Sus scrofa: one gene and its partner. The protein of the gene in region 1 purifies or fractionates together with the protein of each later gene. This does not show direct contact. Links are inferred from orthologs where the notes say so. Each region holds a gene or a part of one and is shown on either strand. Other genes may lie near its edges.

Region 1 (6,355 bases):
GAGCCTACACATCTGTAATCAAGATCTCCCCTTTTGTTCGCACACAGGACATTTTACTTGCAACCTCTGAATCTGGAAATATAACTTTATTCAGTTTCACTAAGCAATCAAGGGAGCAATAGGACAAGGCATGTTCATCCTTTCGTGGTATGCCCAAGCTAATTCAGCAGCTGCTATTTTTGACTGAGTGCTGGTGTCCTTCAGGGCAATGAAAACACTGTATTGATTCAAAAGTGCCTGCTTGTCTCATTCCAGACTTGTGGGATTCAGTCTCCATACGTGTTTTCACATCCCCTTCTCCACCATGGCCAACCCCAAATTCTTTTCCTGCATATTGTACAGTATGCTGGATTATTTACATCCCTAATCCAGTGTCCTTCTATCTGTCATTAAAATAACAGAGCCAGAGTTCCCGTCATGGCTCAGTGGTTAACCAACCCAACTAGTATTCATGATGACACAGGTTCGGATCCGGAGTTGCTGTGGCTGTGGCGTAGGCCAGTGGCTACAGCTCCAATTGGACCCCTAGCCTGGGAACCTCCATAGGCCTCGAGTGTGGCCCTAAAAAGAGAGAAAGAGAGAGAGAGAGAGAAAGAAAGAGAGAGAGAGAGAGAGAAAGAGAGAGAAAGAGAGAGAGAGAGGAAGAGAAAGAGAGAAAGAGAGAAAGAAAGAAAGAAAGAAAGAAAGAAAGAAAGAAAGAAGAAGAAAGAAAGAAAAACCAGGGCCATTTAGTCTTCTTTTTGGTACTGTCAGGCTGGCATTGGTATTGAACTCATTCTCATTTTCATATCTGAACTCTTAGAAACCATGGTCTCAATATTCACAAAGTTAAAAATTACATGAGCACTATCTCCATGCAAAGCACAAAAGTTAACTGGCCTGTTAACGCTCCTGTCTGGAATTTAAGCTGCTCTGAGAGAATGCTATGTTATGTAGATATACTATGTGAACCACACAAATCCAGATTGCCGGTATCAGTGGTTAACAGAAGGCAGACAATCACCATATTCATTCATAAAAAAGGGTGTTGTCTTCAGCCTCTCTTGGGAGGGCCACAATATAGGTTTTGTACCCCTGCGCTCCCCTCAAATATTTGCACTCACTGCTGAAAACCAGGGCATTTTCACCCAGGACAGATGTCTTAGAAAATGGGACTTTCGGGAACAGTCCCAATCTGCCCCAGTTGGTTCCCCAAAACAAAGTTCGTTACTGTTCCACTTTCATGAGTGAGAGCCTGTCTACTGTTTTCAGATCTGTTATTTTGACTTTGGCAAATTACATTCAGCTAGGTTTTCTGAGGAGTGTAACCTAAGGTAAATCAAACAAAAATGGTTCACCAGATCTTTCTAAGAGTAGTTTTTCTTAAAGTTTTGTTTGGATAAATCTGGTTTACTTCGAGCTTTGCGGTATTTGGTACAGCTGTTCCACTGTTTCTTTAACTCCAGTAACAGTTCTGAGACTAGCTGGCAGGTCAAGGTTGGCTATTCCTAAGGATTTAGCTGTGCAGGCTTTTGCTAGTGCTAATAGCTCCATTTCATCTACAAAGGAAAAAAACCAAACACTCATTAATTCCATAGAATACCCCCAAAAGGCTAAGAATGACAAATTAAGGATGCACTTTATTATACAAGCAAGATTAAGATGCTCACTTACAAAATATCTGACAGTCTTATGCCAGTAAATTTAAAAAAGAGTGGAGACAGAAAACGCAAAGAGGAAGGAAGATTAATGCGTTCCTCTCACAGTCATTAGTTAACTTATTAAAAGCTGAAGGCAAGATTAATTAAAGCTGTTCAGAGCTGGTAAACTATTGTGTCATTAATAGACATTTAAGGAGTTTCCCATCGTGGCTCAGTGGTTAACGAATCTGACTAGGAACTATGAGGTTGCAGGTTCGATCATTGGCCTTGCTCAGTGGGTTAAGGATCTGGTGCTGGTGTGAGCTGTGGTGTAGGTTGCAGATGTGGCTTGGATCCCGTGTTGCTGTGGCTGTGGTGTAGGCCGGCGGCTACAGCTCCGATTCGACCCCTAGCCTGGGAACCTCCATGTGCCACGAGAGCGGCCCAAGAAATGGCAAAAAGACAAAAAAAAAAAAAAAAAAAAAAGACATTTAAAAGGTTCCATTAAGAACTGCCCTCACTAGATTCCTCCACTGGACCATTTAAAGTCACCATTACTCTTTAATTCCAAGGAATAAGAATGATGTCCCTTTAAAAATAGGCTATGGATTGTTATTGCATAGTTTTGTCTACTAATCACCTAATGCCCATCCCTCACCCAAAGCTGGAGATTTCATACATCAAAAGAAATCAAAGAAATTAAACGACACAAAAACCTTGGTTTCCTCGTCTACTCATACATATACCCCTACATGTAAAAGAGGTGAACCTGTGCGCCTCTCTTAGCGACAAAAAAAACCTTCCTAACCTCTTTTACTTATGTGAAACCGGGTTCTGCTCCGCGACCTCTTCCTGGATCTCTCCCTCCAGGTGCTCTGTTCTTTCGGATACACCACAGGGTAAAAGACCTAGTGCTATCGCCTGCGCGTGATCAAAGAGGCCCTTCTGTAATACGACCTTTCCTGAGAGAGGTACCTCCAGCAGAATAGCGAGCGGCGCCTGTAATTTCTCTTCTGGCGCCTTCAGGAACGAGACTGTGACTTGCCTCTTCTCCGGAGCGGGCTATGACTCTTGTACCACCATCGACTCCACCGAGACGCTGGAATGCGACCGAGAGCTTCTTGGAAGGGACGATCCCAGCCACAAGTCATTCTCTTAGCTGACACCATTGCCTCCGGCTGTGAAAAGGGTCACTTCTTCAGAATCCAGATTATCTCCTAAACATTGGTTCTCAAGCCGGTCGCTTTTCCCCAGGGGCGAGTGTTTGGCAGTCTGGAGACATTTTTGGTTGTTATAAGTGGAGGAAAGCGGGTGATGCAGATTAATCATGCTACAGCAGCACGGGACAGAGGCCCTCCCCCCCGAATTGTCTGGTCCCAAACGTCAGTAATACCTAGGCTCAGAAACCCTACCTTCAAGCAAACTGAAAAAAACGTCAACTCCTAGAAGTGGGTCACCGCGCCGGGACGCACCTGGGTCTCCCAAGTAGCAGGCTAGCAGAACTCGGCGTTACCCGCCTTCCGGGAACCGCCCCTTATAGATGCAAAGTTTCCGCGAGGGCGGGGGCGGCTCTGAGAAAAATTTTAAACAAGACTTAAAAACCGGATTAGAGCTGTTGGGCCAGATCTACCTTCTGCACCGCACCTGAGACAACTACGGAACGGGCTCCAGCACTAGAAGAATAATCACCTCTCTGAAGACTGGATATAAAGCCCAAGCAAACGCCTTCTTTTGAAAGCAAAGAGCAACTTCTCACACCTACCCTTGAAAGCTGCACGCAACTACCATTTCCGACATCCAGCTGTGGACAGAGCGCAGCGGATAGGCCCTAGAGCTGGCGCGTTCCGAGCATGCGCAGAGACACCGGCGTGGTGGGCGTGGCTCTCTGGCTCTTTCTGAGCCCATCTTCCTTCCTTCCCAGGCCTCTTCCTACGCCCGGAGCCGCATGCGCATTCCTGCCCCGGGGGCGGTGCTGTTCGATCCGGGTATCCGGCGGCCTGTGGCTGTTTTGCTTTCTTGGCTGGAACTGGGGAAGTGGGGCAACCCCGCGCGGGGCAACACCGGGTTCCGGACCGACTGCACGGGCGGGGCTGGACGTAAGTGCCAGGCGGGAGTGGGGGAAAGAGAGGCACTGCCGCAGGCCGGATGAAGTGCGGACCCGGGACTGTCTGCCCGGCCGATGCTGACCAGGTCGTTGCGTCCCACCCTCTGGGAAGCTGTAGGCTCAGGCTGTGCCTTCCTGGACCCTTCCTGGCCACTTCCTGCCCACCCGTGTCCCACCCGCGGCGGGAGGGGGCGACCGTGCCTTCCCCGAGGACGTCACAGGATCCCTGAAAATCACCATGCCCCCCTTTAGGGCGAACTGACACTCCGGAAGGGAGTGTAAGCCTGCGGGTTCACTCAGCGAGGGAGGGGGCCGAGCTAGAACTAGTTCCCGCTTCTTCCCAGTCCCAGTCCACTCTACACCTGAAATCCCCAGAGCCTGGAGGGCGGAGTTTGGGCCTGAGTGTGCGGGTAATTAACCGTAGACAAATGGTTTGGGGCGGGGTCACTGGAGTGAACCGAAAATAACATACTGATTGCTTTTCCTCCCAGGGAGGAATAAAAAGAGTGAATTTTCAACATTGGACTTGTCTTAAAGGCATATTAACACTAGTTATAATCACGGTTTTTAATATTTAATTTTTATAGTGTCTAATTTTTATATTTATTTATTTTTGTCTTTTCTTGGGCCGCTCCCAAAACATATGGAGGTTCCCAGGCTAGGGGGTCTAATTGGAGCTGTAACCGCCAGCCTACACCACAGCCACAGCAATGTAGGATCCGAGCAGTGTCTGTGACCTACACCACAGCTCATGGCAACACCGGATCATTAACCCACTGAGCGAGGCCAGGGATCGAACCTGCAACCTCATGGTTCCTAGTCCGATTCATTAACCACTGAGCCACAACGGAACTCCAATATAGTGTCTAATTTTTAAAAGGGAGGCTCCAGCTGGATTCATTGCTCTTTTTTAGGATGTGTTTTTGGGCAACCATGATTGCTGGCTACAGATTAGCTTCACGGACGGTTAAAATTAGCTGCGGGAGTTTGGGTGTTTGATTATTCTTACTATTTTTGGTCTTTTTAGGGCTGTGCCCTTGGCATACGGAAGTTCCCAGGGTTGGTTATTGCTGCACCTCCGCGGGAGCTCCAGTTGGCTTGATTATTAACAAGTTAGACTTAATGCAAACTTTTTCATATTCTGAAATAGTGATAATATGGATATGTCTCAGACCAGGTCTGTATAGCCCAGTTCAAAGGAATGTTTTATGTAGTTGTTATCCGTGGAAATTTATGATAATTTAGCAGTGGATTTTCTTTTTTTTTTATCTGAATTAATATTGACTTAAATTTTGTGCTTTCATTTGACTTGAAAACATCTTAGAATCAGAGATGCTTAAAATTAAATGGGTATTCTTTACATAGAAATAACATGAAAAGACAGGCTTGGAGAAGGAAAAATAATGAAGTGAAAGGATTTGATGTGAGGACAGTGTTTAATTTCCTAATCTGAGTGTGAGATAACATGTTCTTTGATAAAATGTGTTAATTGCTAAGAGAAATATTTTTCATCTGAGTCCATGCTTTAACTCAGAGCCCGTTTTATTGCATGTCTCTCCATTATGCTAGTGTTCCTGGACTGTAAATATCTAAATCATATAATAAATTAGTTTGGAATTAAAAATCATAGAATTTTTTTCAATATTTGAATGCCCAGTTTTGTTTATTGCTTAAAATATACCAAAACCATCTTTTCAATTAAAAAAAAAAGTCTAAATTTTGTTTTCTAAAGTTAGGTGGAAATTCTTCAAAAGCTAAATTAAATATTCTGGGATGTATGTAGCCAAATCAAGTATTTGTAACTTCACTTTTATTAAATTACAGTTAATTATTTTCTGGAAGCCTAAGTTAAGTTTGAAGCAAATAAATAGAAATACTTGGTTTTTTTGGGGGGTGGGGGTGGGGGATCAATGGGTCAGTGCTGGCACCATAGAAATACTTTCTTTAGTTGGTTTTGTTTGTTTGTTTTTTCAAGTGACCTGAAAAAAAAAAAAATGTCTGGATTTCTAGAAGGCTTGAGATGCTCAGAATGCATTGATTGGGGAGAAAAGCGAAATACTATCGCTTCCATTGCCGCCGGTGTTCTAGTAAGTGTCCTTGATAATTTGGGCCTTTGTTATTTTGGTGTGTTTGTTTTTATGTATTTTAAATTCTGTGTGTCCTGAAGGTGTGTACTATGTATCTTATCTTTGACCACTGAATTTTATTTTATTTTATTTTTTTATTTGCTTTTTAGGGCTGTACCCTCAGTGTATGGAGGTTCCCAGGCGAGGGGTCTAATCAGAGCTGTTGCTGCTAGCCTACGCCAGAGCCACAGCAACACAGGATCCAAGCCACGTCTTCGACTTCACCACAGCTCACAGCAACGCCAGATCCTTAACCCACTGAGCGAGACCAGGGATCGAACCCACAACCTCATGGTTCCTAGCCAGATTTGTTTCTGCTGCACCATGAGGGGAACTCCTGACCACTGAATTTTTTAAAATAAATGTTGATATTTTGTTTTATTTTTGAGGGAGTTTAATCCATTTAAAGAGTTGACATTATGGCATGACATTTGATTAGTAGATTGAGTGTTTTTCTTTAAATGTATGAAAAGAAATCTATAAAAAGACTATATGTTTTATACTTT
Region 2 (5,833 bases), on another chromosome or scaffold:
AGGTCCTCCACCTCCTGGTCAGGTTCTGCCTCCTCCTTTAGCTGGGCCTCCTAATCGAGGCGATCGCCCTCCACCACCAGTTCTTTTTCCTGGACAACCGTTTGGGCAGCCTCCATTGGGTCCGCTTCCTCCTGGTCCTCCACCTCCAGTTCCAGGCTACGGCCCCCCTCCTGGTCCACCACCTCCGCAACAGGGACCACCTCCACCTCCAGGCCCCTTTCCACCTCGCCCGCCTGGCCCTCTTGGGCCACCCCTTACACTTGCTCCTCCTCCGCATCTTCCTGGACCACCTCCAGGTGCCCCACCGCCAGCTCCACATGTGAACCCGGCTTTCTTTCCTCCACCAACTAACAGCGGCATGCCTACATCAGATAGCCGGGGTCCACCACCAACAGATCCATATGGCCGCCCTCCGCCATATGATAGGGGTGACTATGGGCCTCCCGGAAGGTAAGCTAGTGTGTGTCTACGAAAGTAGACTTGGTATGGAGTTTCTGTTGTGGCTCAGCGGGTTAAGAACTCAAAGTAGTGTCCATGAGGATGTGGGTTCAATCCCTGGCCTGGCTCACTGGGTTAAGGATCCAGCCTTGCCACAAGCTGCAGCATAGGTCACAGATGTGGCTCAGATTCATTGTGGCTCTGGTGTAGGCAGCAGCTGCAGGTCCAATTCCACTCTTAGCCCGGGAACTTCCATATGCCACAGGTGAGGCCACAAAAAAAAAAAAAAAAAAAAAGAGAGAGAGAGAAAGAAAAAATGTAGACTTGGTGTGTTGGATCTGCAAAAGATATTTTTCATTCTGTCAGTGAAGTTTTTAAAAAAAATTATGAACTTTCCCCAGATACTTTATTTTCATATTGTTTTCTCTTAGAAGAAACAGTATGATACAATGAAAAACGGGTACTGAGCGGGGTTGGAAATAATCCAGTTCTGCCACTTATACAGCCATGTGATTTTAGGGCAAGTTACTTTGTTTCCATCATTTTTTAAGTTAAAAAAGGTGAATAAAGATAATTTAAGTGAGCAAATGAGATCCTTAAGCTATTTTTAAGATTTAAAAGTCAATCTCATTTACCACTGATGACACTCAAGTTTTTTAATTGTTTTAGGAATTAGAATTAGATGGATACTATTGATTATCTCATCCTCATTAGGAGTCCTAAGCAAAATTATTAACTTTAAATTAAAATGGGAACATTAAGTAATTTATAAGCATATTCGGGTAGACAGACAATTGTGAAATACAGGCTTTGTGGAAATTAAAATGGCAATCCTTCGAGAAAAGCTGCATGAAATCATGGTGGAACTAAGTGATCCTTAAATCCCCTTTCAGAGTAGGTGTTTTCTTTCTTTCTTTATTTGGCCGAACCTGGGACTTGTGGAAGTTCCTGGGCCAGGGATCCAACCCACACTACAGCAGCCACCCTAGCCCCTGCAGTGACAACACTGGATCCTTAACCTACTGCGCCACAAGGGAACTCCTCAAAGTAGTTTTAAAGCTGTGCATATTCAATTCATAATCTGGAGAGCTTTGTTCTTAATCTCTAAGAAGTATTTGAATTTGCCCCCTTCATTTTCTTTTGAGTTTTATCATTTGTTTTTGAATTCTTTAATTATCCCTATTGAACTACTTTGTATTTCATTTTGTCTGATGATGTCATGCAAGGGTGGATTTGAGCATCTGCCTAATTCCATATAATTGCACAGGGCCAGGAAAATAAATTTGATGTTGTAAACAAAATCTACTGACAGTTATCTATCCATAGAGGTTGTGTCTTTATGACTACCGAAAAGGCTAGTTTTCTTTTGAAAAGTGATGTAACTATGAGGCTAGCACAACTTTTCTTCTGTTCAGTTTAGTTCCAGTGAGCCCAGTGAGCAGCTGCTTATCAAGTGTTCACCCATAGTGTTTAGGAGCAGGTTAGGTGGCTTGGTTTGACAGTTTAAAACTTGAGTCTGATATGCTTTTTCTGGCATGATAGAATTGCTGCAGTATTAGGTTTTCTAAAAATATGCATATTTGTGTGTGTATATAGGTATTATTAAGTAGTTTTTAATTGAAAATTAGAGAAAACTGATTATCTTACATGGGATTTTTTTAGAGGATAAGATGGGTATGAGTCACAGAATTTGCTTGAAATTATACATGGATTTTGAACAACTTGTAAATTAAAATTTGGGGAATAATAATATCTTATAAACATGCCAAAGGTTATATTAGTGATTTCCTCATTTCATTGGAATGAACTACTACTGCTTACCCTAATCTAACATCCTACCAAGTAACTAATAACTAAGATGGCAAAAAGTTTACCTTTGCCTGTACAATATATGTAGTCACCTTGTTTGTTTGTTTTTTTGTTTGTTTGTTTGTTTGTTCGGTCTTTTTAGGGCTGCACCCGCAGCAGTATACAGAGGTTCCCAGGCTAGGGGTCGAATCAGAGCTGTAGATGCTGCCCTATACCACAGCTCACAGCAGTGCCAGATCCTTAACCCACAGAGTGAGGTGAGGGATGGAACCTGCATCCTCATGGATACCAGTCAGATTCGTTTTCGCTGAGCCACGACAGGAACTCCTGAAGTCCCAATTTTTAAAGTTGTCCAGCAGCTTTAGAAAATCCTGGGATTTTTAGTAATATTTTTCAACAGAAAAAGTTCTTAGTACTTTTTATTTGCCAGATATTCTTCTAGGGATTCAGTGGCAAACAAGATCTAAGATCTTGTCCCTCCTGAAATTTTATTAAACACACTTATTATCCTGTTGTAAGTTGGGACCCTGTACGTAGAAGATCTAAGCATAAGTGAAACTGAATTCCCACTCTTGATCGTATAGGACTGTGTTTTTTGCATTCAGCATTTTTTGTTCACATATACAGAGGGGGAGAGAGAGAGACATCAGAACAATTTATATATATTTTTGTATGACTCTGAGCAATAGTATATTGTAGGTATGTAAATACGTCATTTCTGGTCTAAGTTGCTGCTTTTGTTTCAACTGAAAGATAATGGCGTAAGGGAATTTTGCATAGACTTTCTCTTTGTAGGAAAGCTAGCATATTTGAATCTGAAAAAGTAACTGCTAGCCCTAAAGCACTTGTCAAAAGCAACTGTTTGAATTGTTTCATGATGTTATGGCTGATTTATAAAATCTTTTGAGTATGATTTAAGGTTTATTTTGATTTTTATAGGGAAATGGATACCGCACGAACGCCATTGAGTGAAGCTGAGTTTGAAGAAATCATGAATAGAAATAGGGCAATCTCAAGCAGCGCTATTTCAAGGGCTGTGTCTGATGCCAGTGCTGGTTTGTATAGTTCTTTCTGTATTAATGACTTGAAAACTTCTTTTATTCTTTTTAGGTCCGCACCTGCAACATGTGTAACTTCCAGGCTAGGGGTCAAATCAGAGCTGCAACTGCCAGCCTGCACCACAGCTTGTGGCAACACCAGATCCTTAACCCTCTAAGCAAGGCCCACAATTGAGCCCATATCCTCATGGATACTAGTCAGGTTCTTAACCCAGCGAGCCACAATAGGAATTACTTAAAACTCAAGTGCAGTCTTGAAGATGGGTTATCTACATGTGGTAGTAATTATTTTTATTTCCAGATCATTATCTGTACTTTTTTAAAAGGCATTGAAGAATTCAGCAGGTTAAGGACACAGCATTGTCTCTGTGAGGATGCTGGTTTGATCCCTGACCTCATTTAGTGAGTTAAGGGTCCAGCATTGCCATAACTGCGGCATGGGTCACAGATGTGACTGTGATCCAGTATTGCTGTGGTGTAGGCCATAGCTGCATCTCTGATTCAGCCCCAGCCCAGGAACTCCATATGCTTCAGATGCAGTCTGGAAAAAGGCATAGGAGGAAGCTTTATGTCACAGTAATGGAAAGGCCCTAATTTTAAATTTTTTAGGTATAGATTTAAATCTTAGCCTGACATTTAATGGTTCAGGGACCTTAAGGCAGCTCATTAATTCTCATGTTTGCTAAGTGATAACTTGTTTCACACAGCTACAATAGTAACAAATTGTATTAATTTCATGTGCATTAAAGCCTTTTCCAAATTTTGAAACACAAAAAATTTAGGTATCTTCTACAGTCTATTTGCAGCGGCATTACTTTTGTAAAATAATTAACCTCGAATAACTGTGTGGTATTTTGAAAATAATTTATTTGACTTCAACCTCTCTCCTTCTGCTTGCTTACAGGTGATTATGGGAGTGCTATTGAGACATTGGTAACTGCAATTTCTTTAATTAAACAGTCCAAAGTATCTGCTGATGATCGTTGCAAAGTACTTATTAGCTCTTTGCAAGATTGCCTTCATGGAATTGAATCCAAGTCTTATGGTTCTGGATCAAGGTAAAACTTTCCTGTCTCATGTCTGTTTAAAACTTCTACTTTCCAAGTAGAAGAAAATGTTGCGCTTGGGCCTTTATAGGCCTTAGATTTTACTTATTACTATTAACTTAGCAGCTAGAGTGATTTTGTTGTTGTTATTTAAGCTCTAAATCAAATGTCAAATGTTTGCTTGCTTAAAACCCTTCAAAGCCTTCCAGTTATTCTTAGAATAAGACTAAATATTGAAATGCTTTGTGATATAGTCCCTGCCTATCTTTTCAGCCTCATTGTATCCCTCTCCCCTTGCTCACTATTCTCTAGCCATATTGATTTCCTTTCTCTTCCTCTTGAACATTAAGCACTTGACCCACCTCACTGGTTTTGTACTTGGTATTTCTTCTGCTGAGATCCCTTTTCCCTGACTCTTCACATAGCTGTCTCCTTATCTTTCATGCTTCAGCTCAATTTAACTTGCTAGGTTGGGTCTTCTCCCACTTAATTCTGTCATGCTTTATTTCTTTTGTAATACTGTAATGTGCTCTTATTTATTACTAACGGACATTTCTTTTCACTGAACACATTTAAAGATGGAAGGGAGCTTACTGTCTTGGTCACTACAATATTTGTTTACCAAGTAAACAGTGCTTGGTACCAAATGGATACTAAAATATTTCTTGAACAAGGGCATTAATGAATAAATGCTATTTCCTAGGGTTTTTGTTGTTGTTGTTGTTGTTTAATTCTTTCTTCCTTACGGCCATACCTGTGGTTTGTGAAAGTTCCTGGGCCAGGGATCAAATTGGAGCTATAGCTGTGGCCTATGCCGCAATACCAGATCTGAGCTGCATCTGCAAACTGTGCCACAGCTTGGGGCAACTCTGGATCTGTAACCCACTGAGTACGACGAGGGTGGAGCTGACATCCTCACACAGACAATGTCGGGTCCTTAACGCACTGAGCCATGATAGGAACTCCCCTAGTTTTTTAAATTAGGTAGTTCCTTTTTTGGGTATTATTACTACCTTGAAATTTTACGTATTTTTGAAAGGTAGATCTTTAATCTTCACATAACATTCTTAAATCTGTCTTTAGTATACTTTTTCTGATGCTGGTCTTCTTAAGTTAGAAAAAGGAATTTATCTTTGTCATGGTCACTAACTTTATTACCTTTTGAACAAATTTGTCATAGCTAAAGACTGTTATCTTTTAACTTTTTATGTCTAAAGTAATCACTTCTACCTAGATCACAACCTTATTATACTATATCTTTGCTAAGTCAAGCTGTCTGGTGTAGAAATACACAGTGGAGATTAAACTAATAGGCAGTTATTTCCTTATTTCGAATTTCAGAATTTAGAATAGTAGGATTTCTAAGGTATATACTTTGGTTAAAGAACCTGTCTTATTTCTAAAGACAGTTCATGAAACATTTCTCTTTATTAAACATTTTGAGTAGTGTCCCAATCTTTTCTAGTGGTCATGTTTACTAAG

Evidence for each region.
Region 2: the proteins of RSRP1 (region 1) and CPSF6 purify together in Homo sapiens (affinity purification with mass spectrometry; 3 studies listed by BioGRID and IntAct, with this or other methods). This does not show direct contact. The link is inferred for Sus scrofa from reciprocal best matches to the Homo sapiens genes RSRP1 and CPSF6.

The regions. Positions count from the first base shown.
Region 1 is NC_010448.4:82,858,060-82,864,414, forward strand, and holds the start of RSRP1 (arginine/serine-rich protein 1), read right to left. Parts: upstream 3,520-6,355; 5' UTR 3,382-3,519; intron 3,349-3,381; exon of another isoform or gene 3,032-3,348; intron 2,892-3,031; exon of another isoform or gene 2,798-2,891; 5' UTR 2,665-2,797; exon of another isoform or gene 2,595-2,664; intron 1-2,594. Other genes in the region: TMEM50A (transmembrane protein 50A), read left to right, coding at 5,718-5,810.
Region 2 is NC_010447.5:33,541,464-33,547,296, forward strand, and holds part of CPSF6 (cleavage and polyadenylation specificity factor subunit 6), read left to right. Parts: coding exon 1-450; intron 451-3,186; coding exon 3,187-3,302; intron 3,303-4,209; coding exon 4,210-4,363; intron 4,364-5,833. UniProt on the Homo sapiens protein: Component of the cleavage factor Im (CFIm) complex that functions as an activator of the pre-mRNA 3'-end cleavage and polyadenylation processing required for the maturation of pre-mRNA into functional mRNAs.